4 linked regions of the Lepisosteus oculatus genome follow. The protein of the gene in region 1 interacts with the protein of each later gene in a biochemical or structural test. Links are inferred from orthologs where the notes say so. Each region holds a gene or a part of one and is shown on either strand. Other genes may lie near its edges. The genes, in order: cdk1, runx1, pbk and rgcc.

Region 1 (8,037 bases):
CAAATCAAATAAATGCAGTCTTGCAAGCACCTCCATGACGTACATAACTTACTGTAATAAGACTTTGGTACAGAGAGAAAGGAAGGTTAAACCTTCACTCTCCCTTACCTCATGAGTGTAAACTCGCACCGGAATCCCAAAGGCTCTGGCAAGCCCAAAATCAGCCAGCTTTATTACTCCTTTATTGTCTATTAACAAGTTCTGAGGTTTCAGGTCTCTGTGAAGGACTCTTCTACAGTGGCAAAAGAGTATTCCTTGCAAAATCTGATACAGGTAGCTCTGGTGGAAACAAAAGAACAATAACTTATAAAAACATTGGAAAATGTTAACTTTAAAGAACAAATGAAAACATACTGCATACAATTAGAAAAACAAGGATCCATACAAAGTAGTGCCTTCCTCTAACATTGAAATCAAGCACAAGAAATCACAAAGAGCTGTGATTACACTATTACTGCCTAGTTTTTTTTTTAATTAAGACTACCCTTCCAAGCTGCCATGAATTGTGCCATACCTTAACCAGCATCGCGTCCATGTACTGACCAGAAGGTATAGAGTCCAGGTATTTCTTTAAGTCCATTGAAAGAAACTCAAAGATGAGGTAAAGCCTTGACTCTTGCATGAGGACATCCAGAAGGCTGGGGAAACGAAAATCTAGTGAATCCTCTCGGAGTAGGACAGAAAAGCTCTCAATATTTCATTACTACTGATTTAATAACATATTGCATAACACTATACAGGATGGACAGAAAGGATTAGAAAAACAAGAATCCTGGTTGTACACATTCCGATACTTATCACTGACACTTAAGGGTCTGATTAAGTAACAACTGAAAAAACAAAGCAGGAGGGTGTGTATGTGGGGCACAATCAATTTGAAGAACTCCACTTACAGTACATGCGTACAATAAGGGTGTTCTATTCCAATGTCTTGTGTTAATGTTAATTAAACAGTGTGCAGCAGTTGCTCAGGGTACTGGAGTCTTAACTGGTAGGCTTTGGAGTCAAATCCAAAATGAGACGCTGTGGTTGGAGACTTAAGCAAGTTATTTCACCCAATTGCTTCAGTAAAATGCCCAGCTCTATAAACGGGTCCAAATGCAAACTGACGTCTCAGCCAGATTATAGCTTAGCTAAAGCTTTTATCCAGGAGGCCTAAAATTTGGAATATTGGATGTTTTACCACAGTAATCTGAGCAGAGTACTTTGAACAGAGTACAGAGAACCATACCACCTGGTTTGAACTGTTTTACAACTGCATGCGTTAACTTACCAAACCACGTTGGGATGCTGGAGCTCTTTGAGCAGGGAGATCTCCCTGACAGCTGTGCTGGGAACTCCCTCTTCCTCACTCTCCAGTCTGATCTTTTTCATGGCCACCACCTGCCCAGTGGTCTTGTGCCGACCCTTGTAAACCACCCCATAGGTACCTGCACAAATTAACAAAACACACAACTTCAGTGTCTTGGGAAGTGCCAGTGAGCCTTCAGGCCCAAACATCCCTCTTGAAGAAAGAAGCATGGTGAACAAGACCATTAAAACCATAGCATTATACAAAACAAAACTGTTTTTCCTACAGTTTGCAAACCAAAAGCACAGTTTTGGTTGAGCTTGCACCTGTTTTTCCAGGGACAGAATGTCTGCATACACTTACCCTCTCCAATTTTCTCAATCTTCACATAATCATCCATTTTGCCTGAAAGAAAATATACACAGAACACCGTTTTACTCTGGACATAAGTCGCTCACCGGTTTGTCTGTTCTATAACATTGCTATGCTGTGTGAAGAAGTGTCGCTTTCTATCGTTTGATAAACGCAGTTTCATTGTACTTTCCAAAACATAGGACATTTTACCGAAACTGGTTTCACCAGCTGCTACTGTTACCGAAAATAACACTAGGCGATTTGGTAACCGTATTATCTCAAAACAATGGCGTTGAAAACCTCTTATACAAAGGATTTTGATGACAAAAACGCCAGACTGTAAATACAAAGACTCTGACGTCTGTGATTCGTCACACTGGAAACTATTTCACAGCCGCTAAACCGAAGTGTTTGCTTGTGTAGGTGGCGCTCTCCAGCAGTGATTATATGAAAAAGGGCTTACCGGTCGTGCCCTGACAACTTACACTACTTGGCTAAATGTCATTTTTGAGATTGGAAGTTGGAAACGTCTGTATTTCAAGCAAATAATAGCATGACAAGAGTAAAGGTACTATTTTTAAATGTAAACGTGTCTTGAAGCGTCATGCAGACCTAGCCTGTCCGTGTGCATGACCATGTTCCCTTCCACAACGAGACGAACCACGTTCCTGCCTTTTCGCTGCCGATAAGAGGCGATAATAATTCCTTTAATAAGACTATTCAACAAGCCAAACCTACGATGCGAAACTGTCGAACACTAGGTGACAGCTCGTTATCTTATATACAAAAAATAATTACCGTTAATAATTACCGTGTGCAACGCCTGTTAGCACGGTCCTGCATCTTTGTTTTTATCTAGACAGAATTAATAGCAAATGATTCTCAATTCTGTCTAGTTTGCCTTTGTCACGTATCGATTATGGCCTGTAAAAAGCAGACCCAGAACCTGCTCATGACATTTTTAACGAGCCGGTTACCCGTGTACTGTACATTATCACCAAATACAGCCTGGGCCTAGTCCTACCATCGGCGCTTCGGCTAGACAGTTACAGAACCGCTCCTCTCAAGAAATATAATCCGGTGCCCTTCCATGCTCTCCAAAGATGCATGCATATATAAAAACTGTTTCACACTATTTTAAATTGTTCACACTTCGGGATCACCCGAAATCGTATCGGGTCGTTTTTTTAATGCTAACCCATTTCTTAAATTCCCCTTCCTCACACACTTCTGCATTAAGATTATATAAAGGGAAAAACAAATAAACAGTACAATAAAAGTTGGTAAAGAACGCACTCACTCCCAAGGCTGTAACTCCTGCGCCGCTCTCACTGGACTCAGCAGTCCGGGGGAAAACAGCAGCTTTGGGCTTTCAAACTAGCCGCGCCGCTGCCTTTCAAATCCAAGCAATCGGGCAGCTCGATTACTTTCAAAAGAGCCAATCGGGAGGCGGATGTCTTAGGGGCGGGAGAACGACTTTAAAGCGCGGCGGAAGAGGATGAGCAAAAAAAAAAGCAGCGGGCGGGCCCGGTTGGAAACCACACAGTGTTTCCAGGATTTTTGGTTTCTTATATCGTTTGCGGGTGGTAGATGTTTTTTTGTGCACGGTACTTTCCAGGTAAACCTTCACTTCTCCATGTATTTTTTTAATGATACATTTCACTATACACTATAATCATTTTTTATTGCTTTTTTATTTGCATGTAGTGGTTGGGGAAATGATTAAAAAAGGATACGAGTATGTTTAGACGGATATTTTCTTAGGCTTCATATACAGTATAACTTTTAGTATCATTAAAGGGCTTACTTAAATTAACATGGAAATGCTATCAATAATGTTTGAATAAATGTTATAGAGCCGCGACAACACTTTAAAGGACAGAAAACCACAGTTAATGACATTTTGCACACAACCTTCTTGTGAATGTGTTGACAAACTGTACTTTTTCCTCTAAATTATTAATAGTATTTGCATTTCTCTCTTGTGCAGGGTTCATTGCATTCTTGGCAACGAAATTCCTCTGTTAGCGATGGAAATTGGAGACGGAACATTTGTTTTCCAATTTGAACCGGAATCTTATCATTTCACCTTGTTGGCTCTAAGTAAAAGGTGATTACATTAGAAATATAAATTTATTTCGGTTTTTAACTTGGTTTCTTTTTTGTGTGCAAATTAACCCGTAACGACTTTTCAAAGTAAAGCTCAGCAAGTTGCGTTGAAGCCCATTCCTTCTTCGTATAACCATTTAATCTCACAATGCAGCCCTGTTCTGGGAACAGAACCGTGATTTATCAAAAGGCAACTCGGGCCCTACCGGTTATTTCATGTAAACAGTAGTTTTCAGATTCAAAACCATATTGACACCCTCTTCTGGCCAAAGTGTCAGGTTACAGACAGAGGTATATTTAAATTGTATTAATTAAAATTACCTGCAGACTAAAATCATGCTTAGTTGGTGTATATAGACGTTAAGTGTGCTAATAGTTGAAAACAATGCAATCTGACATTGTTTTTAATTGAGGTGTTGAAAGTGCGGGCATTTATATGCAAGATTGTGACAGTGGTATTGGGAAGGGCATATTGTATCAAATGTTAAATACAATTATTTCCGCATGGCTTTTATAAATGTATACTTATTCATTAAACACTTAATACAATAACACTTAGTATCAGAAAAAAATCATTCAATATAATCATGGTGTCATTTTATGCTTCTGAACGCTGCAGTAGTATTATCGCTGTGTTTTCTATTATCTAAAGAGCAACAGTCGGCGAGGTCTTCAGCCTATGAGTGCAGTAACCTTGGTGCCGCACCCTAACCGAGTCTGCGGTGAAGTTAGTACAGCGGGCGGTTTGTAGCCTTAATGGCACTGCCACTGTCGCCATCTCAATAGGCTCTGATCAGACCGCCTTAGTCAAGTTGCACAGCAAGTGGACTTTACCTGTGTGACTCGGCTGCGCAGCGAGCAAAACTTTCCTGTGTGGGACTCCGAGACAGCGCGCCGCAGGGGGGGTCGTGCGGGGCTTTGGAACAGTCGAAAGCTCCGTCTCATCAACGAGTTAAAACAACTTTTTAAAGGTTTATGGGTTTTGCTGTGCAGGAAGCAATATTGCTGCACCGCCACCACCCCCTTAAAAAAACGAGATTTCAAATTTGTCCGGTCTGGATAAAGCTTCAGCAACATGGCCTCCACGCCTATTGGAGGTGGTGAAAGCGATACTGCACAGGTGAGGATACATTTTGTTCAGAAGTGTAAAGCAACCGAGCCTTCGCGATTTAGTCTTGTTTTGCGGCACATGGATTGATATCAATTCTCGCCCGCAGTTTCCCACTTGTAAACACATGTCATTAAATAAGTAAGTGTACAGGTTGGTCGAAGTGTCCACACTTTATTGAAGTGCGAAGTCTTTAAGAAGAACGCCTTGTGATTATTAAACAGCATGGTATTTAATTGCATTGACTGCACGGCTCAATTAGCTGCAGGTAATACATTTCGTTCTTCGGGGACACGCTTACAAATTCAGTATACCTGACAGTTACAGTACTTCTGGGTGTTGCCGTTGATTGGGGTTCGGGTAAAGCAGCAGGATTAGATTGGTGTCGACGCTGGTAACGTGAACGTGGAATGTTTTTAGACCACCTGTGTTTGGACTGAACTCTGAAGCTGAATATAGTTTTATTGCAAGTAAATGATTAATCCTTTAGGTGGAAAGTGCAAAGGCTTTCATTTTAATGAGATTGAATTGCGCCAAATGTCATCTTTGGCAGTCATCTTTTTTTTTTGCATAAACAAAAACAAAGTAGGAAAGTACAGTCCTGGGTGTCTTGAAACAATAGCTTTTAAAGCTTTGGAATCGTACTAAACACGGAAACTGACATGTTGTTGCATTCTTGACTTTTAACCAGAAAAAAAGGTTTATTAAACTGAAGTATGGGCTCTTGTTTTAATTCAGCATGGTGCTGGCCTGAACTGTTGTCATGATGAAATACCATTTTTCAGTAATCATTAGTTTTCCATTATGACAATAATGAGATTGTTTTTATTGTGAGGTAGTGCCTCAAGTTTTTTCTGTGATGGTAATGGACATGTTAATGCTTACTATTGAAGGTAATTAAAAATTCTTGTGTGCATTTTCCCTCATAGTTGATGGCAGTTGCCCAATAATTTCAGAACTTTTTTATCCACATCATGGTAGTGGTAGTGTATCCAATTAAGACGGACATTTTCCCTTATAAAGTGCTGAATCCACTTGCAAAATGCCGGGAAGCAGTGCAAGTATAGTGCACCCATAAAAATGCATTAGTTTTTTCAAGGAATATCAAGGCTCAGACTGTACATACATAAGACAAGAAAAAATCCCTGATCCAGGCTGTTCTAGGTATATTGTTAGAAGGCATTAAGATGTCATTGAGACTTAGCAACTTCATTCAAAGACAAACTCGTTTAAAATGTTAATTGATGCTTTAAGATCTTCTAAACTCTTTTGTACTTGTCTTTTTATGTTACAGTCCACATTGTCATGACAGGAGCTCTTACGTATTTATTGATGGATTACTACAGCCATTTTAATTTCTAACTCCTGCACAGGGGAAAGCCACTGTGGCTAACAAGGCAGTAAAACTATTCAATAGGCAGGAAGGATCATGATGGGCTTGCTTCATTTTCATAATAAGTTGATAATTCCTGTCTTCACATTTTGTTTTACAGTAGTAAAATCATTCCTTGGACTTCAGACCTAATTGATTAGTCTACAAATTAAGTTATGTGAATTTTAGTTTGACTTCTCCTGCTTAGACCTCTTTGAAATCTGTCTTCTGTTACATATAGCCATAATTGTGGAATTGAAACTGCTGTATTCAGAGGATGTTATATCGGTTATCTGTTATTACACATACCTATAACAAAACTGTCAGGATGCATTTTCATTCCAGCTATTGTCAACTTTTGTGTCGGTATAAGAGTAATGGCTTTACAAGAGTCCTCTACCATTCTGCTCTTTCTGTAGAAGGTGTAATTAGAATTTTACTTAGGCATAAAGTTCAACAGCTTTGGGTTGGGATAATGCTGACAAAATATAGGCTGACAGACTATACAAAATGTACATTTACATTTTGTAATTTTCCTACAGGTTTCCAGAATTTGTCATTTTGGTGTCATTCATAAAAAGGAAAGGGAATTTGCACCTTTGCTATATTATTTGTAGGCCATATAGTAAATGTATTTGCATAAAACCTTTCATCTTACAACCTGTATAAACCATCCCATCTGTGTAAATAGTGGGTAGTTTAATACTAACTCTGATCGGTAAATATTGACACATGTAAAGCAGTTTTCAGTGTACATTCAATTGCTATACACAGTATAAATTGTTCTTACTGTGACTCTTACTGTTATTGTAATGATTAAAAACCAGGATATGTTGGACTTACAAAAAACAAATAATATGAAAAGAAAATTGCAGATAGACCAAGTAGTGGTCACAAAAACACTTAATTTCAAGATCTCATTTCTTTCAGATGATGGATGCTGTGAATTTACTGGAGCTGTTTGCTAGGAGTACTTATTCATGTAGGCTTAGACACACACCCTCTGTCTCCCAAAATAAAGAAGGCAGTGGCATTCAGATAGCATTAGTCTCCTTTTTACTGTTCCTTTATCAGATGCCTTGTTGGAACCTACAATAACATTTTTTTTTTGTCTTTTAGATGTACATTGAAAGACTGATTTAAGGGGTGGGAGTAAGATGTGAGTTTGCTTTTATGTCAGCTAAAATCCAAAACTAAGCTCCCTGGAGATTTGGCTCATTCGGTTTGTTTATATATTTAATTTACTTTCCAGGTTTTTCTCCAAGGGCAGTTGACTTTAAGGATAAGGATGTCCTCAGGTCATATTTTCTATATGGTGGCCTGAGGTTACTTAATATAAATGTCAATAGTGAATTATCTAAAATTATGTGAAATAGTGGTTATGAAACAAACCCACAGTGTTAAACTTACACTTGTTTCTTTAAAGCAAAATGCCTGAAAGGTTTTAAAAGGTGCTGGATTATGCAAACTTATTTTTCAATGGTATGTGTAAGTCAAGGTTGAAAAAATAATTCATGAAATAGCCTGTATTATTAACTATTAGGTACTTAAAAGGAGAAATAATCCGTAAACTACATTAAACGTGGAACAAGTAATAGTTTAATTCCATGCTGAAAAGAGAAGAAAGAAAACACAATGTTTCAGCCATGGAGCTTTAATAAACCTATTACTTGTTCCTTTGCAGCCTACGCATGTTGACGCAGCTCCCCACCTGAACTACATTGAACTTGGACCACAGAAGTGATGTACATTAAAGTGATTTTCCTTCTTGCATTTAAAAGCCTTTCAAAGTAAAAGGAAAAG
Region 2 (7,983 bases), on another chromosome or scaffold:
AACAAATGCTAAGAATCTTTACAAGCCTTTTCCCAACTCCAGCATGCAGTTTATTCCACGTTTTCCATATTAAACGTAGCTGAGATTCACAAACTGCATAATATTTTTTACCTTCATTTTCCACACTTGCAGAGTGGGCACCTTTAATTATGCATTTGACACCAAAAAACGATGTATAAATTAAGCTCAGGAGCAAAAATGGTGTGCTGATGCTTTGTGTTAAAGCACACATTGTGTCTTCTGTAAGATCTCTGTAAGTCAATTTTGGTTTTCCTCAACAGCCTCTGAACAGCTTGATTAATTTCCTGTGCAAAACACAGTTAAAAGTGTGAAATAAACAAGCTAGAATAAAAAAAAAGTGTAAACACTGAAGTGTTTGAACATGTACTTGTCTTTTAACTTTTTCTATAGAGAAATACAAAGTCTGCTACAATTCAGATGAAAGGTGACTCTGAAGCAATGAACAACAGTGTTAGCATAGGTAGGGTGGGTAGAAGGTACTCTAGGTACCGTAGGTATGAGTATTTGGTATAATACACAAATGCAGAACTTGGAGAAGCCCTGTGCTCCCAAACTGCAAAATATTCAAAAATGCTGACTGTGCAAGGCTGTTAGCTTTGTTTTGTTTTTGTTTTTTAAATAGAGAGACCAAGCAATTCAGAGGTGTACGAGACAACTTGAATAGTTTCCTTGATGCGCATTTTCAGATTTTTGTATTAAAACGTGTCTTCCGCATGTTTTACTGTGCATTTCTTTAATAAGAATAAGAATTATTATTAGTTCAGGTGGGTAGCTGCATCGGCATGCGTAGGCTGCAAAGGAACAAGTAATAGGTTTATTCCATGCTGAAAAAAAGAAGAAAGAAAACACAACGTTTCGGCCGTGGGGCCATTTTCAGGTGTGAGAATTATTATTATTATTTGTGCATTTGTTACAGTGGATGTTTACATTTGTACTTCATTTTTCCACTGGGTATGATAGTGGGGTTTTAACTAACTGTAAACATAGACTATGAACTGGAGATAAACAGCTCCACTCCACTGCAAATTAAGTTAATTATTGTAAGGTATGTTGTAACAAATGACTTGGACATAATTTTACTTACCCTTTCTCTCAGGGTAAAAGAAAATCCTATATTCAGACCTTGAAAACAGAGGTCTTTTGGGGTGTGAGGGACACCAGCAATTGCGATCCAGAAGCAAAGATACTTTTCATCGGGACTTCCCTGGTCCCTCATTCTGTACTAGAACTAGAAATAAATTGACCATCAGTCTTCAAATAAGTGGAAACGTGACTTTTTTTCTAATCCTGAGAACGGGTAAGACTCTCTTCTAGGAAAATATAATCACATAGCTGAATTTAACTCTGGTTTGTTTTTCTTACCCCTCTTCCTTCTCTCTAACAGTGTTGCATGCCTATTTATTACATTTTCAAACTAGCAAACCACAGTCATATCAATCTCACACAGCTGGCACATTGTGGTAATTTTTCTATCGGTCTACAACTTGGGAATTTAATTTTGCACACGTGTTTTTGTTTCTTCAGGAGAAATTCCATTTCAATTGTTCTAAATATGAATAATTCCAAATTTCAGTCCAGTGTCAATCTAGATTATTCTCGATTCTCATGAAAAGACATTTGTATAAAGATGCATCTGAGGCAGCAGCACAGCCCCAACAATTTACAAAACTGCTTCCAGGGAGGCAGATAGAGCACACCTTAGCCAGGAAATGAGAGAGGAAGATACTCCCTTGAAATGCAGATGAACATGAATTTTTTTTTTGCAGAAACATGCATACCTTGCAATTCTGTGGAATAGAGCTGTGTAGACCTAATTTTCTTAGAAACAGTCTCTAATGCTCCTCAATGTTCCTTTGTGGTCCCCCGTAAGAATCCCTGTTCTACTGTTTGCAGCACACAGCAGAAGCTCATATGCTTTGAAAGCAAAATAATGGTTGATTCTTCAAGTTTACTACACAATGTGCATTAGTACCAGGGATCAGACCAAGGTGCCACAACACATACTCTGTAATTCATTCTTCTAGTACTATGATTGAACTTCCACAACCCTGTTCCCGTGAAAACTGTAGTAAAGACTAAAACGAAAAACAAATGAGTCTAATGACTTCGTGTTCAGGACTGTCATATCAACATAAAAAAACAAGAGTATTTAATTATTTTATTAGACAATTCCTCAATCAGACCTGCAATGAGCTGGACCCAGAGACAAAACCAGACACTGAAATTTCCTAGGACTGCTTTAGTGATTTCCCCTGAAGCTTTGCTGACAAAGTTTGGTGGAAGGTCACCAGTCTGGCAGGCTGAGCCCTGCCCCAGACAGGGCAGTCAGACTTTGCCAATGCAGCTCTCAGCCTGCTCTAGTTTGGATGGAGGTTAGAAAGAGCTCCTACCCACATACCCACAAAGCTGTGGTTTCCACAAGAGTCAATCAGCCACAGGATTTCAGAAGACTCCAGCCACAGGACCCAGCACATATAAATAAATAAATCTGCAGCCCTGCTTTCCAATGCACTCCCCTACACAGACCCTTTGCCCAGACTGAACCCCCTTTGCCAACACCCCAGTCTGCATGAATGCTGTCTGAGGTCTGCACGCCCCCAACACTCACCCCTCACGAAGCATGACTGGTATGAAGGAAATGACTCAAAGATGCTGTTGGAGGCCATGGCTTCCTTGCAACAAAGTGACAGCCTGCACGCTTGTGCTCGCAAAAAGAGAACCGCTGTCGCTTTTCTGAAGCCAGTGAGTGCCTTTGTTTTTAAATCCACTCTGAGCTCTCCTTGGTCTGCAAAGGGAAATAAAAAAATAATGTTCAAGAATTAAACGAAACACATTTTCTGCACTCATCGTCTGACCAACATCCACTCAACCACAACCAAATTCTGTTCACCTCTATGCATCCTCCCCCCACACTCCTCACCATCCCAGTCTTACAACACACTGGACACCTACATTTAACTTGCCGCTTCTCCAGAAAAGAGACCCCCATAGGGCTTTGGGATGGCATTCCCCTTGCACTATAGACAGGGCGGTGGAAGGTGGTGGACAGGCTGCGGTTTACTGATGCTTACCCTTGCGCAAAAGACAACAGCACTTGAGCAAAAAAGTCGTTGTGGTTTCAGCAATCCGGGTGATTCGCACTGAGATCAACGAGCACACCACTCCCCCCTCCTCCCCCTCTCTCTTTCTTTTTCTTTCTCTCTCTCTTGCACTGCCGTGACTGCTCCCAGCCTGGGTTTGTGGTTGTGTGGTGGCCCACAGACAGCTTCACATAACCCCAATTACAAATTTAACTGTTCCTTTCCGAAAACCTCAGCCAATTGGGTAGGGCCTGTCACGTGATATGGTGATGTACAGGATTTCTTTTTTTTAATCTGGTATCGTGGCTTTGCCTTTCCCACTCCACCTGCCCTCCCCTTTAGTTCAGTGAGGAAATAACAGTGGCTTGAGTTTGTACTGAGAGACAGAACAAAAAATGACTCACTCGCACAGTGACTAGCTATGCAAATCGCACTCCAGGAGGAGATACAATTAGCCCTGTGTGTCTCTCAGTGATCCTGGTGAAGAGTCCAGTGAAAATTTACATGTCAACTTTTCATATCTAGGTATAATCTGATAGTGTTCTGAGAGGGAAAGTAGACTCCGAAGTCATCAGTTTTCCAAAGCTCTGTGCTGTGTACCAGCCACCTGTGAAGGGAGTTTATGAGGATACCAACATCCCTATCACTCTGCTATTACCCTATCCTCTTCTCCACTTCAGGTGTCCTTCAGAGGCATCCAGACTGCTATAGAGTTGCACTAAACAATAATTTAAATTTTTGGATTCAGTTTCCTCTGAGGAGTTCTGGGTGACCAACTGGGTGAGACTTTTCCCTTGCATTGATTTCTCCATGTTAGTTTCAGGTAATTTTGCATTTTATTTGGGCTGATAAATAAACTCTGAAGACATGGGAATGTGAAGACCATATTTTGTCTCGTTTACGAGGTGGATTCTTTTTCCACTCCCTGCAGAGTGTTGATCAATCAGTAGAAGAGTTCTGCTGCCAGTTCTCAATCTGAAGTGAGACTTGGCTCCATCAAAGTTCAGTTCCCTCGCAAATGTCCTTACCCTGGTATTGGAACAATTTCCTACAATTCTAGCTTATAAAGCCATCAACATAGTACTTAATATTAATAATGGCATTTCCTCTTTGCTGCAAGAGTACCACTCTTCTTCCTTCCTACTGTCCAAGTCAACTGGCCAGTACATTTATTTATTTCAAGATAAATGCCCCAAATTCCAAGTAATACAGTTTTATGATACTGATAAACCAGGCATGAAGACCAAACTGTACTCAACTGTCTTGGTTAAGCAAGTGCGTGAACAGGGTATGTAGGTGACCACCTTGAGGGTCTCCCACACTCAAAGTGTGCTCTGACTTTTTCTGCCCTCCGCGCTGGGAAGACATTCTTCCTTTTTATACTTTCTCTTCAGTTTAGCAGCCATAGCTGCAATAAAACTCTTAAACATATGACTTACTTTAATAGGAGGGTTTAAAAGCTGAAATGGAAACTTTGGACAGAAGCATTTTGTTTAGCATGATATAAGAGAGTGAGCTGATGGAGATGTTTTCCCTTTCTTTCGAGGTCTGTGGCCTAATATACTGAGACTGTGGTAGACTGAGAGTTACCTGTGGATGTTCACTGACTGATGAATAAGTAAGGCCAGTGAGCCAGCTGGAAAGGAGAGTGATAAATCATGTGAACCATGCATTTTACTGTCCATAGAAGGGATTGTTTACTGACAGTGAAGTATTTTATAAGGCCAGTAATGATGTCCTGTTTCCCTGTGCTTATTCTTCCAGCCAGCAATGGAACGTTTGCCTTGTCCTTCTGGCTTTTACGCTTTTCAGTTAGAAGATGGTTTTAGCTGTGCTTTCGACTTATTTAATTTCTCATGGAGACAGTTGCCATAATGGCGTGGAAATATAGGAGGTCCCCCTTACTCTCCCTTCCTCTCCTCACCTGGCAAGTGTGCTGTTCATGGCGGCTCCAATCTGAGGTGGCAGGCCCGCCCAGGCCATTGTTTGGGTAATTGTGACTGTGTGTGTGAGCAGCAGCGCCTGCAGACCCAGTCGTGTGTCTGTGAACTGTAAGGGAGGAGGCAGGAGGGGGTTGTTAATAAGGATGATCAGACAAGAGAGGGGATGTGTGTGTAGGTGTTGACGGCTGGGGGGACCTGCAGTATAATTAACCATGCGGTGCACAGTGATCTTTCATATGTGTATAGCAGTGTGTGGAGGGGTGGAGGGGGTATAATTGCAGGGCTGCTCACCTGCTGTACAAGAATAATAGTGGTGACGAACTGCTCAGGTGTGTAGTGTCAATCGTGCCTGCTAATGCCATGATTACCAAGGCCTGCCTGCGGCCTGTCTGTGAAAAATCAGCTCGTTTACTCCATGCAGGAATGGCGCGTTGTCTCTACACCTGCATGCCCCCCTTCCTTCCAACCTCCCTAATCACCGGGTACGTTAATTGGCAGAGGGGCACAAGGTAAGAGGACAGCTGTATGACCCAGCTCCTTCAAACACACAGGGTTTGAGCTTCCAAGATCTCTCGCCTGCAGGGCTGTGATACTCACACCCACCTGCCAGGCTGGAGTATAGCTGGCAGCTGCAGACTTGGGTCGCACCAGTCATATTAAGGCCACATGATCTATTGGAGATGCCTGCTGCAGAGAGGCTTTAGGGATTAACAGGCTAATACACCTTATAACAACAGAGCACTCAGCACTCCCACAACAGGTTAGAGATGCTATAGATTGATCCAATGTATGCAATTCAAGGATCAGACGAAAGAAAAGGCAAAAAACATTTTTACTAGGCTGGAAACTAGGCTCCATTTTAATGCTTAGATAATCTAATGAAACATGTTCACTCTTTCATGACGACTTATACCAGGGGTACCAGCAACACTTTGCAGGTCCTTAATGGGTCCAGATAAGGTGTACGTTGATAAATATCATTGTTATTGATTGACATCCTCACAATAGTATCTGATAAGGTATTCAAAATAGGGTACTTGAAAGATAAAGATCAAAACTTTGAATTCACAAATGGTAGCAAATATCTGTTGAATAATGACATGTAAAAACACACTGTTCAAGTGTATTCAGAACTTCCAAACATGTAAAACCTAAATGTTCCAGATGTAATTCTTCCATATTTTGATCATATGATAGTTTTACAAAATCTCATGAAGTATATTAATTAATTCTTTCAAATTCACCTTGATTCACCTTCTTAAGTCATGGGATACTTAAGAAGGCTGTACACAGATGTAATCCAGTCAATACCATTTGTTATCTAGTGGAAAGTCGAAGAACTGAAAGATAATTTTGATCCACACAACTCAGCAATAGTAATGGCTATAAGAAAATTGCAAGATCGTAGACACAATATCTACCGTACCATTAATCATCAATATGCTCAAGGTGTGGAATTGATTCTTGCCAGAAAGAGGACACAAGAAGGCCCTATCCAATTATGAGGTTGAAAGGTGATTTGTAAAGCTAACTCAAAGCAAAGGACTAGGAATCTTCACCAACAAAAGAGGAGTTGGCCCCAAGAAAATGGTGGCAGGAGGTCCTTTTGTTGTCAAAGAATTAATGAAATATGGATTCCCAGAGTGTGTAAATAAATTATAATATATGTCACTATATGAAGCATCAACAAACATTTCTAACTGTTTCAAAAAATTCAAAAATACATTAAGAAAATGATTGAGTCTTTTTATAGCAGGTGCATTGACATTTTATTGAATAGACATGATATAGATAATGTTACCATTTGTCTATGAGAACAGGGCTGATAAACAGGAGCCAACTGTGATTCACAGGATATTAGTGTATGGAAGCAATACAAGCTGTACATCTGTGATGTATGTTTTACATGAGGTTGTAGATGTTGTCTTAAAATATTCTTTCTGATCCTATTCTATTTCACGTGGCCTGCAACAATATTCTTTACTTACCACACAGTTTCCTTGTTCCTTGATTTTAGTTGATGCTTAGCACTCAATTTCTGAAGATCTACAAATAATCAAATATCTATTTCTAAAAATCCCTCAAGGTGTCTTGTGAAGAAAGAGAATGGCACATACAAATCATAACTCTCCCCTGAGCCTGCAGCAGTGTGCACAGATACTAGATAAAAACTTTTATCTTTAACAGCTTTTAAACAATGCAGAGAATGAGGCCTAAGTGTTCTGTTCTCAGTTGGAATTTGTGGAACCTTGTTATCAAACGATTGCTAGATTTTCACCTTTGCTTCCAAATTTCAGAATAAAAAGGCATGGACACTAAGTACAGTATATTATATTCAATTATGATAAGTTTTTGTTTCACGAATTGACCTCTCACTTTCCTATGAGAAAGGCATAGTCTTCATGAATACAGTGATAATGTATTTTTGAAAATGCAACAGTTTGTACTTTTGACCTTTAAAGACTAAAAAGAGTCTGCTGTCAGCTGCAATTTCCGGATGGCCAGCGAGACAGACTGGAGTCCCAGTGGAGGAGGGCTGTGAGAGCAGCACTGATCTCTCGACAGGATGACAGGGTGTGAGCATTGGGGTAGGACAGCTGTCTGGGGCTTTCAACAGCTGAACACTTGAGCCTGCTCAAAAACTTTTTTTTTTGGTCAAAGACAGTTTTATTGGTTCAATTCAAATTAAGTTAGTTACATCACCCCTTCTCCAAGAGTGCCAAGGGTGGAGTGTTTAATCCAGGAGATGTAATTTCCTTCCGCTAACCTATACCCAGGTTTTTATACCTTCTTGCCTTGGAATTGAATTGACTCTGGAGCCAAAGAACAATTTGTATGTGAATCCTTTCCAAGTCTGTGCTGTTTCATCTCTGTAATAGGCAATTGGATAAAGCCAGTCCTGATGAAAAAAGGTATGATGCAGGGCTGAAAGTTTACTA
Region 3 (7,184 bases), on another chromosome or scaffold:
TAGTTTAAACTTGTCATTGGAAGGAGATGACACATTTTAACACCTTGTTTCCAAACATGTTTAAATTGTATTTCTTCCTTTAGTTAACATCCAGTTCATTTTTATCTGTGTGCTTTTGTTTAGCCAGTAATTAAACAAGATCTGCAGATAAATGTTAAACAGTATGCAACATATACATGGCTTAAAAAACACAACTGCAGTGTTGAAGGTCTTAATGTTTTGTAATCATGTGGAGATCACTCAAAAAAGTATCAAATTCAGTTGAAATTGACATTTTACTTATAGACTAATAACAGAAAACCCTAATAATAATAAACTAACAACAGTTCTCTTGTTGTTTAGCACTAAAATAAACATCTGCTATACCTGTTGATACCTTAATACAATTTTATTTCTAACAAGGTCCCTCTGACCTAGTCCCTCTGCAAGGGGAACATAATCTGAAATCCTATCTAGCAGAGCTTCACATTAATAAATTGAAGTTTCAACACCATCTGTAAATGGGAACTACAGTACCTATTCATTTCACCTCATTGCACACATCTACAAACCTTTTCATAAGATATACATTCACCCCAGTTCCACATCCAAGTTTTTTCATGAAAGGAGATGCAGGGATTGTTATATTTCTAGCCCTAGGGGATCCATCTGTTCCAAAAAGAAAACCAAACAACAACAACAACAACAACAACAACAACAACAACAACAACAACAACAACAACAAAAAAAGTCATTCTGCCTTTCTTCCTCCTGTACTTTATGTAACAAATATCTACCTTACAGCATTATTTTCTTTTTGAAGTAATAAGGGCAATTAATTAGTAATAAGGGTGATGAAATTCACTAGAGAATTCACTAGAGAAGTCTCAGGTCACAGAACCTAAGTTCTTCACATCTGGGTAATAGTTACATATCCTGAGAAGAAACAAAGCACAGAGAACAGTGATTAAGTAATGCCAAAATGTCTGCATTTAAAAGATACCTAAAAATATCCCCTTTTTAGTCTTAATGATTTAATGATTACACTGTTTGGGTCAATTTCAGCTTGTCAATTACATTTCCTTTATTTTTTAAATTATAGAATGAAATAGATGCACTGAAATGTATCACAACTCTACTAAACTGAACTTTTTTTTCTGTTGTTCCTGTTTGCCATCAGCTAATCCAAAGACCTTTTGTATACAAATATATTTACCAGTTGCTACAATTTCCATTAGCAGAGTTGGGTCTTTGTTATATATGTGATTGGAGGGACTAATTTACTTTTGTGCATGCTTATCACTTCATTGCTCTTTTGTGTGTTTGTGTATTGATCTAGGTTACAGCTGAGTTAGGTCTAGTCTTGTAAAAGAACTAATGGTAGCCCTGTCTCTAATTGTTTTTTTTTTATATGTACTGTAAGCAAATAAACGTAACAAGCAGCAAAATACATGGGGATGGCATTTTTACTAGTATATTCTTTCCAGTAGCTTGGTAGGCACCTAGTATGCTGCCAGTAAAGACATTTGATCCAAAAAAAACTAAACAAAACAAGGTCGTGCTGTTGATGTAAACCCCTAAAGGATTCAGAAAAACAATAGCATCTGTTGGACGTCTCTTCATTACGTAAAATGTAATACACATTTAAAACCACTGATGCAGTTGCTCCTGGAATTTGTCAAAATATTGAATCATACCTACCAGGCATAAACTTTTTTTTGCCAGGGGTCACAAATGTGTTTGCCGCCTCCATGCCGTTTGGAATTACAGTGCCGCTGGGGATAAAACAAGAAAATATTTGTACTTTTTGGAAAAATTACACTATAATTACACATTATACTGTCACAATCTAACCGCCAAATAGAAAGTTTCGATTTCGGGGCTGGCCTTACTTGTATTTAACAGGAGGGTAATCTTTGTACTGAATTTTGATTCAGTCAAAAAAAACTTGTTGTTCACAATAACATTCTCCAATGGACTGGAAAACAGAAAGATTACGGAAATTTATTATACACATTCAGTTTCGTCACATTCGCAGAAAACACAGTGAAAGATCAATGCAGTTACTGCACAGAGCCGATTTTATAGCCGAGTCTTACATCGTTCGGGCTTGTTATTGTTAGAATTGTTAATTGAAATCTGTTGAAAGTAAGTTTATTTTTTGTCTCGATTCAGAAAAGTACAAGTGAATAAAGTGATCCATACAGTTTCGTTTATAAAAACGCAAGCTAATAAAGAACTTCAATCACATTGGATACGATAGCAAAAATAACTGTTTTCTTCACAACAGAAATATTTGTCATTACTTTATATTATTACAGGTTTGAATGCTATTATGTTGCTCCTTTCACGTATTTATATAAAAACACAAGTCAATCCCACTTACCAAGATCTTCCTTTGTCTACAAAATATTCTGGCGCGCCTACTTTCAAATCTTTAGTTTGTATCACATGGGCACCAAACGGCGGCTGAACAAGGACAAACACAGCGTGGCTTGATGTGAAAATGAAATTGTTTCACTTTTCACTCGACGGTTTGCTTTTTTCAATTTCGGTTTGTTGTGTGTCTTCTTCCTGCAGTCTATTCCAAAAATAAGAGAATGATTCTCTGGCAGTTGGAGCAGTGCGAAGGAAGTCATTTCAGGTTTCCAGTCCTAAAACAGAGTGAGGTACGAACTGCTAATGACACTCCTGCAATCCACTAATGTGCTAATAAACATGAAAAATCTGAGTCAAAAAGAATGACATCTATAAAGTAAGACACGCAAAAGACAAACTGAGGATGATACTGCAGCAGTACGTAAGAAACTTCAGATTTGACCCCGGAGAGTCCATTGTATGATAAAAATCCAAGATAGACAATGATTGATTTTTCAAACAGAAAAAATATATATTTCCCTTGGAAAAAATAAAAAAGGTTGCTCTTAAACGTTTCAAATTTAGTGTAAAAGTCCAAGTTTAGAGCGGAATTAACGTGAGAGGCACAGATTAGCAAAAAAAGTTCCATGCTAGAAAAATAAAAACATATTTTTGCGCTTTTGAGGCTTATCCAGATGCTCAATGCTGTTTTACGACTTTTGATAATGTACCTAAATCAAATTTCCTCAAAATATCTTTTGTCCAAAACTTCTTTACGTAATCTTTATCTTGCGTAACCATTGTGAAGCAATAAAAAAATGCAAAATGTTCACAGGCAGTGTACAACGAGAAAAAAAAGAAGTGTTTTTATTGTGCAAAGAAGTTTAGAGTGATTAAAGAATAGCAACAAATTTAGACCGGATTTTCCAAAAGTAGACGGTGCAGGAAACACTCAACACTAAAAAACAATATGTAATAAAGTCAGGTTCAGGGCGCTTTTTACAGGAGTTAAAAGAGGTCTTTTGTCTAAAATGTCTATATAGATTTATAAAAGCTTGTTCTTCCTCACATCTAAGTAATAATAGTCATTTTCACCAAAAGAGGGCAGCACTCGTCTAGGTATCAAAATATTTTAACATGATTTTCTACCATTTCTGAACACTTGCGCAGTAATTCTTAACTGGTGGGCAAAAGTAGTTACTGTTTTATGAGTACAACAGTAATTGTCATTGCATGTAACTACCTTCAACTCGACTACAAGAATAAAAACACAGGATTAATTGCACTCAACCAATATTCTTTTTCCTCAATTACCATTGCTAAAGCAAATTACAAACTCCGGGTTTCAAAGAATATTACAGTGTATCATTGTCTTGAAGTCAGAAGCCACAAGTCAGGTACCTTATACGTCGTAGTAAGAAAATGTTTTGTATTGCAGAAGATAGCATTTGCCCAGCGCAAGCTGAAAAAGAGAGGCCAATGCTAGGGTTTCTAGCATGAAATGGATTAGACTGGCTAATAGGCGTGTGGGACTCAAGCTCTGACCTGCCGGTATTGGTTTCTAGAGGAGTGGGATACTACCTGGCAAGGCAGCAATGTAGCTTCTTATCACAGTCAAAAGAGAAGCAGTTTGGACAAAAGAAGTTCAGTCACAAGTACAACCTCGTGTCCTAAGAACTGCAGACAGACCAGCTGCTACTGTCAGAGATGCCAGATTCTAGAGGATATAAGAAAACAGGATCAGTCAGGAGAAGAGTAGCGAAGAGAAGAGTGAGAGGTAAAGAAACACCAAGAGTGTGGAAAATTTTAAAAGTGGCAGAGAGAAGATTTGAGTTTAGTGTTGAAAAAATGTTTGTGAAAAGAAAGAGCACTGGTTAAGGCAGAGTACGTCTAAGCCTAGTGATGAAACAGTATAAGAGAAAGATATCTGGGTGTCAGAGAATCAGAATAAATACCCCATTGCCTAGAGTAAAAGAGTTTGTGAGAAGATAGTGAAAGAGAGTTTGATGTGTGATGAAAAAAGAACAGGAAAGAGTCCTCTCCGTTTTTCCTAGAAGGGATCAGTAAAAGCGACTGAGGATGCTGGTGAAGGCCCAAACAAAATAGTTGAGAAAAGGCAGGCCACTTTGCATACCAAAAGATAAGGTAACATGCTGTGTAGTTTATAGTGTGGATGAGAAATGTAAACAATGTATTTTTCATAAATTCTCATTATTTTTTAAGTAGGCCATGAACATTGTGACACATACAGGTCAGTTTCAAGAGGTATGTATATCTGTATATCTGAGATAAGATCACTTTATTGGCCATACAATTTCTTGTATTAGGAATTTGTATTTTTGCATACCCCAACTTGGTCTCCATGAGACACACAGACAGGGAGAGAAGCTTGGGGTCAGAGCACAGGGTCAGCCATTTATACAGCACCCCTGGAGCAGTTGGGGTTAAGGGCCTTGCTCAGGGGCACAACAGAGTAAGATTTATCTGCCAGCCGTGGGATACAAACCGGCACCCTTCCAGCCACGGGTGCAGACCCTTAGCTACAGAGCCACCGCACCGCCATGAATCCTGGCTAGAGATCATCTGTCATATATCTTTTGACAGAACCAGAGATATCTACCAATGAATCATAATCTGTCACACAAGGTGACCATACACATGATGACTACGACCACCTGTGGTGAACTGATTTAAAAGTTCTAGCACACACAGTTGGGATGATCTCTGAAATCCTGACAGCTTGTCAACCAACTATTGATGTGACTGTGCTGTCTGAACCACACCTGAAAGTAACTGCAGGAATGAAACACTGTACATAACCAGATTTGTCTCCTAGACTTCATATGCAATAAGAGACATTTTGTGACAAGCTTCCAATTGTAATTTCAGCTGGAAGGTCAAGAAACGAGGAGGATGATTAGAGGATACCTATAGGCCAAAGACAACTTTCAAAGAGCTACAGTCCTTTATGCTCAAGACTGTGGCTCAAAGTGAACAAAGTGTGTATGTGACAACAATATCCCAACATCTCCACAATTTTGGCCTAAATGTCAGGTTGGCAAGAAGGAAGCCATCACTCAGAAAAACTCACCTTGAATCCCATTTAACTTACTTAGCCATGTGGTAAAAAAGTTTTGGGTTTTATTAAATAAAATAGGACTTTTATTTTTATTTGTAAATCAAAGTGGGACATTTTGCACTAACCCAACACAACATCCAACCCATGAGCACCATCCCTACTGTGAAGCATGGTGGTAGGAGCATCATGTTATGGGGGCATTTCTTATCGGTAGGGTCTGTGAAACTTGTCAGGAAAAATGGGAAAACAAATTGAGCAAACTACAGAAAAGTCCTTGAGGAAAACCTGTTGCCTCCGGCAAAATAGCTGAAACTGGGATAGATGTTCATCTGTCAACATGACTTAAAGCACACAGCCAACCCTGCACTGGCATGATTTGAAGACTGCTGTCCATCAGTGCAAGAAAAACTTGATAGAGCTTGAACAGCTTTGTAAAGAAGAATTTCAGTTTTTTATTTCCATCCATTCATACAGGGTTTAGTGTTGGGATCATTGCATTTTATTATTTGTCTTCAGTTTCATTGTTATGCAGATGATGCTCAGATTTATCGTAAAACATCTTCCCACTCTGATATTTTGCCTCCGTCACTTATTCTTGTCCACATGGCATCAAACTGTGGTTGACATCAAATTCCCTGAAGCTATATAGTGAAATAGTGAAAGAGAGAAATTTCACTGGTGGGCTGATGTAAAAAAAACCTGAGATCTTCACAGTAATGGTGGGTGGCTTCTCCATTCACTTGTCAACTGTTGTCAGGAATAATAATAATAATAATAATAATAATAATAATAATAATAATAATAATAATAATAATAATAATAATAGTCAACTTACAGTAAAACAATATTGATTAAATTATTTCCTACAGTACCTAAAAAGAAAATTATTGAATGAAAAGAGCAGAACAGTGGAATAGACCTATACAGATGTATAGTCTGTGCTATTGCTGCCTTTTGTCAGGATCTGATCACAGTGATTCCCTGGCCAGTTTGCTCAACTAGTGTATACAGTATAACTATATTGCTCAACAAGATAGCAGCTATACACCTAAAGTACCAGCTTTGACATTAATATCAACCTTATCTGGAAGCCCCAGAGTCTCTGGCATCTAGTGGATTCTCTCTCCAGGAGGATAACATGACAACTCAGGCATTTATTCAGACAGTTTTGATCAATATGTCTGCACAGTACCGGCTGGTTATCTCTAACAAGCAGCTCACATTATGCTGATTTCTGGAAATCCCCCTCTGCACTTTTCAGACAATCCCCAACAAACTCCCTATGGATCAACATTTCTTATTTCATTTTCCCAAACAGGCACAAGTTAGTCACTAACAATTATCTGAGTACATTAGTAAAACACCACAGTCAAAAACATAACGGTGCAATTCAGAAACCATACTTTTTTAACTTATGTTTGTTTAACTCATGACTTGTTCTGATATTTAATGAAACTCAGATTTTGTGATCTGATTTTGTTGTGCTATTTGCATTTTTTCAGGTTGTGAAAATGAGCATTTAGGAAGGGCATACATAACACTCTTACTGTGAAATATGCGTGCGTATTTAAAAAGTATGTTGCACATACTGTATAGTACAGCACAAAGAGTAAGTGCCTTCACTTTCTATATGTTAGGCTGACAACACAAACACAGGGAGAGGGTAAAGAAGAAGATGAAACTCACATACTGTATATCAATCACAGGGTCCTTATAATGTGGTCATTATGTAAAAGAATGAAGGTGGCGAAATGTTTGAAAAGTTATG
Region 4 (7,895 bases), on another chromosome or scaffold:
TGTATGCAGGGAACAGAAAAGAGCTTGTAATTAGATCTTAGCTTCTGGGACTAGTTTAATGTGTTTTCCCATAACACCACGGAGAGCAACGAATGAGTCCATTTATGCCAATAGCATTTCTAAAGAAAATTCCTGAAAGCTTCTTCAAAATCCCTCTCTTTGTACAAGCTTGTGCACAAGTGTGACAGAAATGCTGTTTACAGTTGGGGATATTGTACTCTGTCGGCTCAGTCCATTCATTTCTTCTCATATTGTTACTCCTGGCTGCATAATATGAATAATAGTTCATTGCCTCAGGATGTATCTGCACAAATCCTGATTTTACTGCAAGTATTTCTGCTATCACCTCAAACTGCGAAGGATCCCTTCTGTTAATCCAGCAGTTAGAAGGCTCTGCATAAGGGCTGTCTGTGCACCTGACAGTGGCTAACACTGGAAGTGACCGCTCAGCGTCTTCCCAGTTTCAATGAGTGCTCTGTCATGTGAACTCACTCAGATACATGGCAGCGTGAGCTCAGTTTTGATAGCGAGATGGACTGCCCATCGTCGCTAAAAGATTATCTGTTGAAGCCTTTGGAAAGACAACATTCAAAACAAAACTGAAACAAATCCCCTGCCCTGTCTTCCCAAAGGGGTTGGTTTTGCCAGCCTTCTCTAAAGATGATGATTTACATGCTATCTTTGCTACTGTTCAGCAGCAGAATTTCTAGGTACATTTTCAACTGCACACCCGCATCTCAAAGCGAGGACAAGAATTTGTAACTACATTTAAATAATCACATGGTCCTATACAGTTGTAAACAATATAGCACTTATACCTTCTAAGCAAAACATTTCGAATAGGCTCTTAATCCTGCAAATGAAGGGGAATCAAAGTTTTTTTTTATTAAATTGCTTATTACTGACACATTCAATGGAATAACGCGAACACGTTCTACGTCAAATTAAACAGACTCTGTCAATAGGGGCACAATTGTGCTGAGTGTTATCATTCTACTTGGTCTGCATGTAAACTTTGAAGAGTTATTAATTGCACTAATTTGCCTGCATAACTCTGCAACAAAAATTTCCTCATTTTTTGTAGACAATGGTCTTCTGCTGCAAAAGGATAAAGCTACTCTTGTATTCCACAATATACGACAGTATGGACGTTACGAGCAACAGAATGAATGAGATATTTACAGCTACGCTAAGAAAAAAAAGTTCGTCTAAAATTAATCTATTCCTATGGGTGGCGGTGTGGTTGGATAAGTGTTTGAACTGAAGCACAAATGGGTGTGTACATGTTTGTAACAAAGCGTAACATGTATCTTATATGTGGTCTGCTATATTACAATGCAAAGCGGTTCATGATGTACTCTTAGCATTTTGTCAAGAACGGAATTTAATAGATTTAATATACACTAATACTCAAGACGTACTGTATTAGTGACTTGAGTGCTTTCACTTGGAGGTTTATCGCATGCTATCCCAGAACAAATAGACGCGCAGATAGTGTGTCAGCAGGTGTTCACGCAGAAGAGTATCGACCTTCTTTAAACGCGTATATTAAAATAATGCTTTATGGGTGCTTGTAAAACTTTGTGTTGAGGGAGGTATACTTTAGGTTTCTTGTAATTATTTTTCTTGTGTAATTATTTCGTCTTTCCACCGATATCGTGCATCGGCACGTGTATCAGACGTCACTGTTCTTCCCGATTACGAAACTGTTTACGCATGTGAAATTTGATATTAACCACAGTTATTTTATAGGAACAAGTAATAGGTTTATTCCATGCTGAAAAAAAGAAGAAAGAGAACACACAGCTCACACCTGAAGAAGGCTCCACGGCCGAAACGTTGTGTTCTCTTTCTTCTTTTTTTCAGCATGGAATAAACCTATTACTTGTTCCTTTGCAGCCTACGCATGCTGACGCAGCTACCCACCTGAGTTATTTTATAGTGCGGTAATCATCGATATCTAGTGGTTTGCTAAATGCAACTAACAACTTAGTCCTTTTGACAGATGACTTCAAATGTCACAGTGTAGTTATAATAACAGTTGGATTATTTGAATGCCGTTATGTAAAATGGCATCATTAGGCATTACAGTACAAACCCACTCATCTTTTACACAAAATATGAAACAAGATCCAAACTTACTTTCTGAATCACTGATGCCACTATCGCTGACGCTGGCGCTACTCCTCCTCTTCATGGTTTTTAAATGCTCATCGTATCTAAAGTGCCTCTTGCCCATAGGAGACGAAAAATCTTCAATAACAGCGTCAAATTCACAGAGAACTGCATTAAGATCATCATCATCTTCAAGAAAATGCGCTAGGAAAAAGAATAGTCGCATGTGGTTATTGATCATCGTTTTTCACAAGAGCAGACGAAGCACTGCAAATATAGTGACATGATTTGTGACTTCCCAGGCAGTTAAAGCTTCATATGCTTTCAAAAACATCTAACGATCTACATTAAAGTACGTAATAGGGTCCAAGTTTGCCTGAAAATCAGCTTGAACTTTTCATCATTTAATTCCTACCTTCACACACCATAAACCATCCAAAAGCTTCACAGCATTTTTAGTTTAAGCTAAAATCAAAAGGTGAGATTTAAATAATTTTACAAGCTCTCCAGAACCGAGCCACCCAAACAAAAAGACTTGCAGTTATGAATCCCGTAATAAAATAAACGATATCCCCTTCAAGAACAACGCACTAAACACTTTAGGTTTCCATCCAAAACTTGTCTACATTGTCGACTGAAAACGCGTACATTAACGTCAATTCATAAAACTTACATTTGCTCTGCGATTTCATTTTGGGAGATTTCATTATCCGAATGTGTTATCCTTTGGATATATCCAATGCAGGAAATGAGTTATCCTGGATAACTACTTCTGATCAGTTCTTCTGATGCCCACTGCTGTAGACCTGCTAAATCCCACAACTGATTGTGCGCCACACTCCTTTAAATGCTCTCCAGTCCCGGTGGGGGGCGGTGACTGGGCTCTCAGGAGGTGGAGGTCGGGACTGCCGCCGTACACTGCCTTCAGAGGAACTGGTACCGAAGGTACTGAAGGAACATTATCCAGTACCATCTAACGTTCAGAGGTTGCACGTTGGCTTAATTCCCAGAAGCGATGTTTGTTTATAAACACAGTTACTGGCACACGTTAGTAGGCACGCTGGCACGACCGAATTAGTTAAGAGTTTGCCTTTTCTTCCCGTTAACGCAGATGTAGTTGCCTAAGCTCCAAAATCCAATGTTCAGCAAGTTTCAGGTTCATTTTAAACATAATGAAGGGCAGAAATTATTTACATAATGCCGTGCCACTTAAAACTAAAATGCATATACGAAATAATTATAGATTAAATGAAAACAGCATGACTGAAAATGATATTAGTTTTAAAGGAGTTCTATAAAACGTAGTATTTAGGTCTGTGGACAGTTCCCTGGAGGGAGTTAATTACATATCTATTGATTCACGAATTACCCTCCTCCTGCGAATGAAGGAGATCTTTTTCTCAGTGTTTTTGTTTTCCGACTTCGCCTTCCCACTGGTAAAGAAAAGCTGCGACAAGGAAAACACATTTATTTGCAATCATACATAAAACATCTAGCAAGTTCATATTTTGTTAACAGTTACAATTTATTAAACGCATTTTACGACGCATTAAAGTTGCATTCCGAAATACTTTCATGGATGAGCAGCTGAAAGGCTTCCGTTTATGATTACTAACGACATGGAAATAAATTATTACATAAGTGATTTCACGGCATGCCCTTTTGTGGTAAATATATGTTCCGTAAGTAACCAAATTTGTGAGTCTACATATTTGTGCAGTGTAGGGAACCACCTGGCGGTTCCGTAAAGAATTGCAGTCCCTGCTAAACAATGTACCATCCCAAAACAGCGCCATATGGACCAATAACTTCTTTCACTAGATTCGTGATTAGATTAATGGCTTAATGGCTCAGACTTGATATAGAACCACAGATGACCAGCTTCTGAAACCCCTGGCAGTTCTTTCACTGTTTCCCAGCACACAAGCCATCATGGCATGGTCGAAGTGTTTCTTCAAAGATGGAAGAATCCGTCACACCTCAGGGAATATTCACACCTTCGGTGTCTTTTCTAACAGCTGAGCAGATGGAAGGGACGAGAAATGTGTTTACAGCTGCACTTTTCTGTTGACTTTATTAATGACTATGTTAGACTTGCCACACATGGTTTTTTTTTATAAAGTGCTAAAGGTAACACTTGGGATGGAGGAACTATGCTGATTCAGTTCACACGCTCTCCTCTGTGACTCTCTTTCCAACACAGTCTTCTGCCCGCCTCACCCTTTCCAACCTAATCCAAAGGAACGCAACACAGCGATCAGTTATTTCAGTAAGAAATCTTATTTTCCTGGACCCATTTGCACCAAATAATACACCACATTCTTAATTGAACGCTGTTAAGAGAACCACAACTGAATAGTCCTATTACGCATTTTTTTTAAACAATTCTTCCACACTAAATCCAGAATGCTATAATAGCATCTATATCTTTTGATGAACACTAAATTTGACACCTGGAGAGTTCATTTCCTGCCCATTCAAACTGATCCTGAGTTGAAAAAAAATCAAGTATAATGGATCTTGCATATAGGGAAATTCCAGGGCGAACCGTACTTTGCAACAGAATTCAGTCTTCCAGATCTGTCCCATGGATTAAAGAAACAAAAAAAGTTGAGATTTTTTTTTCAAATTGAATGAAACTTGAATGTGCAAACTGAACATCTTCACGGATGAAAGAAGTTAAATTCCAGGGAAAAAAAACGCAAAAGTAATCAAAACTAAAGTATGCCGATTGCAGAAGTACTCACACCCTGCGTCAATACCTGGTGGAAGCACCTTTGGCAGTAATTAAAGCTGCCAAATTCTTACGGATAAATCCCCCGTTTTTCTTTGCAAACTTGCTCAAGCTCTGGCAGGCTGGCTGGCTGGGAATCGCTGATGGGCAGAAATTTTCCTGTTCCACTTAAGGATTTTTGCTTTCTTCATATTAGGCCACTTCAGTGTAGCTTTGGTTATAGGCCTTTGTCCCACTGAGAGCCGAACTCTCATCCCAGTCCCACATCTTTAGCAGACAGAAGCAGGTTTTCCTCTAAGATTGCCTATACAGATGATTCTTTTTCAGAATGTCTGGTTTTATAAATGATGAGCTATTCTTATAATTCTTATGTTAACACAAAGTTAGAATATTTTGCATACATAGCTCATATGTTGTTCTGGGTTTTTCAGTTTTATCATTTTAAACAGTCTACAGTACACTGCTGAATTTGTTCTTAGGTATATCTCATTCAAAATAAAGTAATGTCCCATTTTTACTGCAATTGCATGGAAAAAAAGTGGGAAAAAATTCTCTGGACTGGAATATAAAAAAAATGTGTATGAAACTCACATTTTCTATCAGTTTATTATCATTAAACATGCCTATGTGAAAAATTCCAACGGGTGTTGGAACAATTGGAACAAACAATTCTGGGTTAAAGGCTTTTAACACAGTTATTAAACGTACGTATACAGCTAGTGTGAAAACATCCACTTCTGAATTGAAAATTCTTTCGACTTTTTATTGAGGTATCACAGCACTCTGCTTTTAAACAAGTACATATATACACTTTCACCCCAGCGAATATGAAAGTTAATAGTTACATTGATGCCAAGAAACAGCTTAGTGATGTCTTAGAGACCGTCTAGATCAGTCCATGAGTATCCAATAATACCGTACCACGTACTGATGCAACGAGCTGTATCTGGCTTCACATGTCCATTGTAATGGAACTGTAGAACAGAAATAAGAAATAGAATATTTTTTGCAATTTTTAAGTTGACAGGAAGACCCAACAGGCTCACTGCCAACACTGCACAAGTAGGAGTTCCTCTTCCAGCTTAAGAAATCATCACCATCACCGTGTCCGTGGCAGGTTGTAAACTAAGGATGTTCTCCGACCTGTCTTGTGCTGACCGGGAGGTGTCAGAAAGCAGGACATGAGGAGACAGAGCCAGCAGCAACAGCTCTTCCCTCCTGGCTGGAATGATGGGGACTGCGTGGTGCAAACCAGAGGCTGGACAACAGCTACAAGGGCACAGAAGGAAATCTGTCAAGTACAGCTCTTTCTCCTGATGCGAGTTCCTTTCACCGGTTTGAACTCTGGAAACGGCCCGATGTCGCCGAAATGACAAAAGAGGAAAGACGGCAATGCCCTTGGTTTTGGTTTAAGGTGATGCATAACGGCACTGAAGCGAGCCAATAACAGTCTGCGCTTGACACTGCAAGGCTGCAACAAAGGATCGTCTGACCTGTGAAGGTTCTAGAAATTGTTGTGGCGCTCCAAATCTTTCACAATAATTTGCATCCACTTTAATGTATACATTTATATATCAGGTACTGTATATAAATACACACCCCTATCGAGTTATGGGTAGTCCAGCCCATACGAATGAAATAAAAGGAGCAGCTCCTCTACCTGTAATATTATCAATAGTAATAATAAGCCCTTACACTTGTATAGTGTTTTTCTGGACACTCCACTCAAAGCGTTTTACAGGTAATGGGGACCCCTCCTGGGGATGCGACAGCAGCCATAGTGTGCCAGAACACTCACCAAACACCAGCTCTCAGTGGGGAGGAGAACAGAGTTATGAAGCCAGGTCATACATGGGGACTATTAGGCAGCCATGATTGATAAAGCCCAGGCCAGGACAGTTTCTCTATCATCCGAAGGATGGCACCTTTTTACAGTATAATGTCCCCATCACTACACTGGGGCATTAGGACCCACACAGGCTGCGGGGTGAGCACCCCCTAGTGGCCCCACTAACACCTCTTCCAGCAGCAACCTTAGTTTTTTCCAGGAGGTCTCCCATCCAGGTACTGACCAGGCTCACACCTGCTGAGCTTCAGTGGGTAGTCAGTTGTGAATTGCAGGGTGAGACAGCTGCTGCCTAAAAGAACTCCTGCACTCCTGAAAGTAGCTAGCAGTGCATGCAGGACTGATGCAGCTCATGCAGATACCCAGGTAACAGTGCAGGGCTGAAGCAGTTTGGCAAAGCCACTGAAGCAGGTGTTCCCCAGGAGAGCTAACATTCGCAGGCTGACTCAGACCTACCCGGCCCCAGCCTCACTTTGGCTACTATCACCCATGTGATGGCACCAACTGTGCCAGAACCGCTGTGAATTTGATCATAAGACGTGCCGTGTTGTACAAGGTGTTGCACAACAGGTACTCCAAAGCCACCTTGTCACTTGTCAACGCTACCCCTACACACACACCCCTCTGCTGTGCTCCAACATAATTGCCTGCTTGAGATACTGGCACGCAGATGACACCTGTGCAAGAGGATTGCACAAAAGGCTTCTAATAACAGTTCTGTTTAAGTAACAGTCTTCGTACAACAAAAAAGGAAATTTTGCATTCATACATTGTCAAGTACTCGTGCAACTGTTGACAATACTTCAAAGGCTTTAGAAACCACCCATGAATTCCTCCCTGGTAGACAAACCTTTGATCCCTTTAAAACACAATCATATTTAAATACTGTTTAGACATTTCTTTTAACATGAAAGCTGTGCAAATTCATATGGCTTTACTTAAGGATAATAGAGGTTAACAGTGTTTGCTTGCCCTGTGGAACAAAAACCACAAAAGCATCGCAGGACATCTAGTGATGGTTTAAAAATATTTTCTGCACACACAAAGTTACACATGCAGATGACTTTCTAATAAAATCATTATTTTTCAGCTGCAGCTAAATAATTAGGTCGTGAAATGTAATTTTGAAATGTTACACTCCAGTCTCGTGCTAGACTGAGACCAGTGTTGGTGTTGAACAACTTTACACTGTTCTGCGTT

Evidence for each region.
Region 2: of the proteins of cdk1 (region 1) and runx1, one has a biochemical effect on the other in vitro, tested with the Homo sapiens proteins (2 studies listed by BioGRID). The link is inferred for Lepisosteus oculatus from reciprocal best matches to the Homo sapiens genes CDK1 and RUNX1.
Region 3: the proteins of cdk1 (region 1) and pbk form a complex in vitro, tested with the Homo sapiens proteins (2 studies listed by BioGRID and IntAct, with this or other methods). The link is inferred for Lepisosteus oculatus from reciprocal best matches to the Homo sapiens genes CDK1 and PBK.
Region 4: of the proteins of cdk1 (region 1) and rgcc, one has a biochemical effect on the other in vitro, tested with the Homo sapiens proteins (2 studies listed by BioGRID and IntAct). The link is inferred for Lepisosteus oculatus from reciprocal best matches to the Homo sapiens genes CDK1 and RGCC.

Annotation. Positions count from the first base shown.
Region 1 is NC_090699.1:23,136,481-23,144,517, reverse strand, and holds the start of cdk1 (cyclin-dependent kinase 1), read right to left. Parts: upstream 3,049-8,037; 5' UTR 2,946-3,048; exon of another isoform or gene 2,942-2,945; intron 1,697-2,941; 5' UTR 1,692-1,696; coding exon 1,655-1,691; intron 1,431-1,654; coding exon 1,274-1,430; intron 639-1,273; coding exon 515-638; intron 280-514; coding exon 109-279; intron 1-108. UniProt on the Homo sapiens protein: Plays a key role in the control of the eukaryotic cell cycle by modulating the centrosome cycle as well as mitotic onset; promotes G2-M transition via association with multiple interphase cyclins.
Region 2 is NC_090708.1:28,895,552-28,903,534, reverse strand, and holds the start of runx1 (runt-related transcription factor 1), read right to left. Parts: upstream 3,058-7,983; 5' UTR 3,029-3,057; coding exon 2,974-3,028; intron 2,807-2,973; coding exon 2,630-2,806; intron 1-2,629.
Region 3 is NC_090697.1:56,986,564-56,993,747, forward strand, and holds the start of pbk (lymphokine-activated killer T-cell-originated protein kinase homolog), read right to left. Parts: upstream 3,061-7,184; 5' UTR 2,366-3,060; intron 1,958-2,365; 5' UTR 1,872-1,957; intron 1,755-1,871; 5' UTR 1,733-1,754; coding exon 1,681-1,732; intron 649-1,680; coding exon 552-648; intron 1-551. UniProt on the Homo sapiens protein: Phosphorylates MAP kinase p38. Seems to be active only in mitosis. May also play a role in the activation of lymphoid cells.
Region 4 is NC_090710.1:16,934,547-16,942,441, forward strand, and holds the start of rgcc (regulator of cell cycle RGCC), read right to left. Parts: upstream 3,038-7,895; 5' UTR 2,823-3,037; coding exon 2,789-2,822; intron 2,320-2,788; coding exon 2,143-2,319; intron 1-2,142. UniProt on the Homo sapiens protein: Modulates the activity of cell cycle-specific kinases. Enhances CDK1 activity. May contribute to the regulation of the cell cycle. May inhibit growth of glioma cells by promoting arrest of mitotic progression at the G2/M transition.